2 linked regions of the Xenopus tropicalis genome follow. Each later gene encodes a partner of the first gene's protein in a complex. Links are inferred from orthologs where the notes say so. Each region holds a gene or a part of one and is shown in the gene's direction. Other genes may lie near its edges. The genes, in order: ralgapa1 and ralgapb.

The links.
Region 2: ralgapa1 (region 1) and ralgapb share a complex: the UniProt entries of both Homo sapiens proteins name them as parts of the heterodimeric RalGAP1 complex. The link is inferred for Xenopus tropicalis from reciprocal best matches to the Homo sapiens genes RALGAPA1 and RALGAPB.

The regions. Positions count from the first base shown.
Region 1 is NC_030684.2:108,151,788-108,154,458, reverse strand, and holds part of ralgapa1 (ral GTPase-activating protein subunit alpha-1), read left to right. Parts: intron 1-765; coding exon 766-911; 3' UTR 912-2,671. UniProt on the Homo sapiens protein: Catalytic subunit of the heterodimeric RalGAP1 complex which acts as a GTPase activator for the Ras-like small GTPases RALA and RALB.
Region 2 is NC_030686.2:42,224,888-42,229,200, forward strand, and holds the start of ralgapb (ral GTPase-activating protein subunit beta), read left to right. Parts: upstream 1-1,213; 5' UTR 1,214-1,380; intron 1,381-4,313. UniProt on the Homo sapiens protein: Non-catalytic subunit of the heterodimeric RalGAP1 and RalGAP2 complexes which act as GTPase activators for the Ras-like small GTPases RALA and RALB.

The DNA.
Region 1 (2,671 bases):
AAGATCTCTCAGCACCGCACCTTGTGTACTGCTTGTAACTGGTGTATGGCTAATACTAATTTGCTTTGTACGAACCACCACATGACAAATCATTGTGTATGCACGTTGGTGTTGCCCAGCATGGCCCATTCAGCCCCATGTCTATAGCAAACAGTTATTTGCCTTCTTCCTGCTGATCTCATTGCTGCCTGATTCCAGTCTGCGTGACCAATGCCTGCATTATGAGCAAAGAGCATGGCAAATTGCACCATTGCTAAACATTAAGTAAATTGTACCTCATGGAATATTATGGCATCAACTTTTTGCATGAAGGGAAGAAAATTGGTTTAAGGCCTGTGGCACACAGTGGGGATATTGAGGATGCCATATTCTATTACTGAGCATGGCCAGAGCTATTTTATTCATATTTCTATGTGGAACACCATTAAGACGTGTGACTTTCCTAATATGATAGTATAAAGCTGGCCACATATCTGCTTGTTTAGTAAGGTGTTTCCCCAATATGCCCACCTTGATGTCAGATCCAATTGTTTGACCCTACAGCCAGATATCAGTTATGTAGGCCCAGCAGAGGGCCCTATACATGGGCACATAAGCTGTCAACTCTGACTGAAGGAGCCAAATTGGCAGCTACAATCTGCCCACGTATGGCACTCTCCCTAATGATTTAAAATCACGTTAGAATTTTGTTCAGTGTTTATAGTGTATCTGCAACATGTGAGGAACATGTGAGACCTACCTTTGTTCTCCCGTGTCATTGGCCAGGGCCTTGCCCAACGAAAGAGCAAGATGAGAACGTATCGCCTCCGGGGGATGGATCAGAACTGGCTTTTTCTTTGTCACCACGGAGCAGCAAAAGTCGCATGTCCATAAAGCTCCGGCGTTCCTCTGGCTCTGCCAACAAAACCTGAGTCTTCACTTCATAGTCTGAGTGTCTCCAATCACTGGCGGTGCCATTTTAGGACAAGTTCAGGCACTCGAAATTCACTCCAGACTTTATACTTCCTGTGTTTTTATGCTAGTTTTTCCACATTTTATTTGAGTGAACAACACTGGACTTTTAGACCTTATTTAATATTTTAGCCTGATACCTGTGTTTTTAATTCTTTACAATGCAGGGTGCCATATGTATATCTTTGCAGCTTTTAATCCTCTATTACTGGGTCTTTAAAAGGCTGAAATGATGCCTGAAAAGCGAACATTCAGTGAGCTCTTGTAGCTATGCCATTTTTGTGTTCTCCATGTTGTATATTTATTCACTATATTATTATTACCAGAGGCTTATTTTCCTCTTTTTTTTTTAACCCGTTTTCTCTGGGTCAACACAGAAATGAAACATAGATCTAAACTGTTGTTTCACTGATCATGATCTGATTTTGAAAGATCTCTTGTATAAATATGTCTATGGCTTTTTGGTACAATGAAACCTAAAGAGATTCCAGATTAAAGATAAATGTAGCACAGCAACTCACTATTTTTATACATGTATTATTTGTTTTATATATATAATATATATATTTCTTTCACAGGCCTGATTTTATTTAAAAAAAAACCAAGGTGTTCTTTAGCGCAGGGGTTGCATTGAGAAGAAGATGGATTTTTTTTTTTTTAGCAGAATGTGTTAGTGCTTCTCATTAGCAGATAAGCCGGGGTCCCGAGAGGTGTCTTTGCTTGTATCCCTTTAAATAAGGATCATTCCACTTCACCAAAATATTATTTGAGGTTTTATTGTTGTTTTTTTAATATGCCAATTGAGTTATTATATGACATTATCATTGCATGTAAATGAATTGTGTTACACATGGCCTTGTATGTGCTCAATGGTCTGTGCCTTGGCAACAAAGCATTGCTGTATTATAGAAGGCATGAATCCAGTAATTAATGTTGCCCTTCAAGACCATGAATGACCCTCTGTAAATTGGCCTTCAGGCCTGAGTGCTTCTAAAGTCATGGACTCAAACCCGTTTCCAACGGCTTCTTCTCTAGTGGGGCCCAAACGACCTACGGGATACTGGTCTGATATCATTTCACATGGATTGTTCTTCTATGTTCCAATCATGTAACTCCCTGCATTGTCTCTATTGATTCCTGTTTTCCTTATTATGTGTCTTTGTTTTCTTTTAAGAGTGTAAACTGTATCTTGTCACGCTTGCTGTTAGAGCACTGATACCGAGCACCATGTCTTCTATAGAAACTATACAGAACGTGCATCTTATTCTATTCAAATCTGCTCATTAAAAGTTCCTGCTGCTTTACTTGTCCTTCCTGAGAGGAGAGCAAACCACTAGAGCGCCATTATCAGAGGCAGTTCCAGTGTGTAGCCTCCATGTGTGGCTGTAATATGGCTGCTTTTCTTGCACAGTTACAGTTAGTGCATCTTTATAGCTCTAGAAACTACATTTTTCACAAATACTTTGCTTTCCATTATATTGCTCTATCCTGCCTGCAAGCCAAATTGTGAGCTACAAGTAAAAACACTACATATCATTTTAAGCTTTGTTTTTAACAACGATAACCCACAGTACCCATAATACCTGTCCTATCAGTGCTTTCATATTAACATACCTCATTATTCCTCCTTATTCCTCATATGTCAGTGGGTACCCACTATTGTAACAGCTGCTCTGTAAGTGCCCGACTGTCACCTGGTGGGAAGGGAGAGCAAGCCATA
Region 2 (4,313 bases), on another chromosome or scaffold:
GAAATATTATGGGAAAATTGACATTTGGGAGCAAATTAATGAAAAATTTCTCTCTCCCTGTTTCAAAAATATCACTTGTTTAAGCAGTTTACTATTAAGGCTGATGCCACACGTGGCGTTTTTACGCTGCGTATTTTCTAATTCTCTCGGCGGCTGAAAAACGCCTGATATCATCATCCATAGAAATAACTTGAAAAGACGCAAAGCAAACCACACAATGCGGAAATACGCTAGAAAACGCCTTACCGCGGATTTTTCAAGCGTTTTCCGAAATACGCCAGTATTTGCACAGCAAGCTATTCCTATGTATACACAAAGGCAGCTGCCAGACCTAGCGGAAATACGCGGCGTTTTTTACTATTTCGCACTATTAGCACCATGGAAACGGGATTTGCTACGTCACCAGTACTAGGCTGAAAAACGCCATAGTCAGGGGCTGTGTGGCTTGTGCGGCGTTTTTAGGCTGAGAAAATACGCAGTGTAAAAACGCCACGTGTGGCATCAGCCTAATGGCAGCAGTTTTTTCTCAGTTGCTCCAAGTGTTGCATTCCATTTGGCAGGACATTGAAGGAAAACCAATTTTGTCACTGGGTTATACTGGTTTATCCCAACCTTCAGGCAGGCGAACACTCTAAAAACCCTGAGAAAATGATAAAAAATGCTTTTAGTAAATCACAGGAATGCTCAAACTTGAGGAGAAAAATAGTCAATGGCCAAAGAACGCAAGATATTAACAAATAGATACAAATGGCAAGATTAGACGTGAGCAAATATGCACCACAATGTGCGTTGGAGGGGCAAAAATGATACTTATTATACTAATATTTGTCTTCATGAAAATGTAAAAATACAAATTAACAAAGATGATTAAACATATGAAATTCCTGCACTTTAGCACGTATAATATTCCATACTATTTTATCTTAACCGTGCAGACATTTTTTTTTGTGTATAGTGGAACTTTATACTATTATTATTAAAGAGGAGTTTAATTGTATTTCCCTCAGAAATATTACCCAGTCAGTCAGACACCCGCAGCCAAACTACGCATGCGCAGCTTCCTCACTCCTGTCAACAAGCTGCGTTCCAAGCCTCCGTCTGGCCGCGCGTATTTTGTTAGTTTTTTTTCTGTAGACGTCACGGCTTAGGAGTAAAGATGATTGGTTGTCCGTCTGCGGATGTCAGGCTCTGACCAATAGGGTAGCGGATGCAATGTTGTCACTAGACTGGATGTATAGGCCGGCCATCTTGCTTATGCTGTGCATGATCCGCCCTGCTTGTTGCGGAAGCGGTATTTTCAGCGGGGCCTAAGGAAGAATTGGCGCTGATGTGAAGGGGGAACTTGGGAAGCGAGTGCTGCATGGGCAGCCCCAACAACTGGTGAGGTGACAGCTGCTGCCTAGGAGGGAATGAGGGTGGGGGCTGTGCCAAAGCCTTGGGTCTAGTTAGTGGGGCACTAGTGACACTGCAATGCTATGAGCATTCTTAGTAATCTAGGGGTGCGCTGTGTGGGACCCCTCCATTCTCTAACATTATCCTCCGACTGTTGAATGCTGAGAGATGAAGTTTAACCAACTTTAAGGGCATCTGCACCCTGACACTGGTTTGTGTGTAGTCAACGGAAATGTCAAAACATTTTAGTGGTTTTAAAGTTGTGTGTAAATGTCATGGCAGGCGGTGTTTGTTTATCCCTTTCCCGGGTCCCACCCTTGAAACAGTGTTCCAGAAGGTAGTTTACTTGCTACATTGTTTCAGAAGTCAGAACCAGCAGGGCAGAGAACATAAATAGTTCTGGTTTCCACAGGAATTTTATTTACAGAAAACTTTACTAGCCTTTGGGTTTTGTATTTATCCGGCTACTCGGGCCTTGAAAATCACTTGAAAATTCAGGGACACATCTAATGAATACCTGTTGCAGGGCAGCACTGATTGCATTTGAAATAAACTGCAATCAGGTGAGCCCTGCTAGCTGGATTTTTTAAACGTGTCCCTCAATTTTCAAGTGATCAGGTCACCCTAGCCCAGCGCTTCCCCCCACAGCCACTGGGGCTGGCATGTTAGTTGATCAGTGTGTCTCCAGTGTGAGCTGTGGCTGTTAGGCACTACAGCGTGTAGATATAGTTGCCACCGTAATGGGCACATTTGAATTAAAATGCCATTTATGCGGACTGGAAACACGACGGTAGTTGGGGATAATGAGTAACGAAGGCTAATCACTTCCTAAGATGAATTGGCCATCCCTGATATAGTCCCATTTGCTCTAGAAACAAGTGTCTGATTGCACAACGTAACTTCATTGGTGGAAGAAGGCCCCTGACTTTGGGCCCAAGCATTTTACTCAGGGAGATAAAAAATGTTGCATGTTACTAAAATGTATTCCTTAAGGGTGAAGACACACAGAGCTACTAGTAGCAGCTACTTTTTCACGGCTACTAAAAGCCAAAAAATCCGCTGCCATGGACAATACTGAGCATTGCCTCCGCTAAAACACATGTTGAGACAGTTATCAGTAAATGATCAGCATTGTCTATTTTAGTAGCCACTATAAGTAGCTGCTACTAGTAGCTCCGTGTGTTTTCACCATAAAGCAGCGGATTTGCCAATCATTTCCTGTAAGAACATAATATTATCATACTCGGTGCATGTAATACAGATGCTCACAGTTGATATTGAGTACACACCATTAGGTTGAAGACACACGGAGCTACTAGTAGCAGCTATTTGTTGCGGCTACAGAAATAGACAATGCTGATCATTTACTGTTAACTGTCTCTACGTGTGTTTTAGAAGAGGCTATTCTCAGTATTGTCTATGGCAGGGGATTTTCTGGCTTTTAGTAGCCGTGACAAGTAGCTGCTACTAAGTAGCTCTGTGTGTAATCATCCTTAAATTTAGTTCAATTGCAGTTGACCAGGGCTAGTTGGATAGGTTACAACTCTGGGGTGATATTTCTCTAGTTTTGTCAGTTGCCTCCCCCTGCTGCTTCTGTAGCAGGACTATACTGGGGAGGGGACATCCTAGGTACCCCCATAGAACCTGTTTTCAGGGGCCAATTCTCATCTCTTAGCAACAAACCATGCTAAATGATTACATTGCTGGTTGCCAGTTTATCCCTTTTCCTATTAGCCCTGAGCAGGGTGTCTGCTCCATTTAGATGGATTACAGGGGAAGTGTGAGTGAAGTAAGGGCCACGCTGCATCCTGTTGGCCAATGACCCCTCATACAAGGTCAGATAAGATGTATCTTATCACCTTTTCCCAATACTTTAGTCCAAGTAAAGGAGCATTTCAATAGGTTGCTAGGATCAGTGACCTTAGCAACCAGGCACACTAAATAGGTTAGTGTTTATTTTAACTGTTTATAGTTCATGCCATGTAGTATGAAAGCATTTAGAGTCCAATTAACTAACCAATCAAATATATATTTTTTAAAAAAGTGGGAGGTGCTCATATTTAGTACAGCTGAGGGATAATGGTGCTAATGATGCTGAAATTTCAGGTTTACCTCAATTAAGGGCAAGAAATTGCTCCCATATCAATAGAAAGCAGTGTATTTGGCATCTGATAAACTCTGTCCCCGGGTGCCACGCTGCCTTAGGCGCTGGCATTAATAGGAAGGTCTCTATGGGGATGGCACAGATTTGCAGAGCAATGGGATCCATGCATGGCTGTATTATTTTTGTACGGGATTAGGAACAGATTTTCAATCGACGCTTAGACGTAGCAAATTACTTATCTGTGTTACCAGGTATTGCAGGCTGGCATTGCTTGGGTCAAAGGTGCCATTAAAGGTTGGACTTCTGTGACCCGGATGGGCATGTGTGCATCAAGCTATCACTTTGTTGTTGTGGCTTTGTCTTGCCCCCCTGTATGAAAATTACGACTTAACCTGTATCAAAGCACTCCGCCTACAGCTTTGTGCCTTTATATGGGCACAGAACCCCTCAGTGACTGCTAATATCCTTATCATTTACAGTAGGGGGTACATTATCCCTTATAATACATGAGTGATACTCAGAGTTCCCTGTATAACTCAGCCTGCAGCCTTGTGCCTTTATATGGGCACAGAACCCCTCAGTGACTTCTAATATCCTTATCATTTACAGTAGGGGGTACATTATCCCTTATAATACATGAGTGATACTCAGAGTTCCCTGTATAACTCAGCCTGCAGCCTTGTGCCTTTATATGGGCACAGAACCCCTCAGTGACTGCTAATATCCTTATCATTTACAGTAGGGGGTCACATTATCCCTTATAATACATGAGTGATACTCAGAGTTCCCTGTATAACTCAGCCTGCAGCCTTGTGCC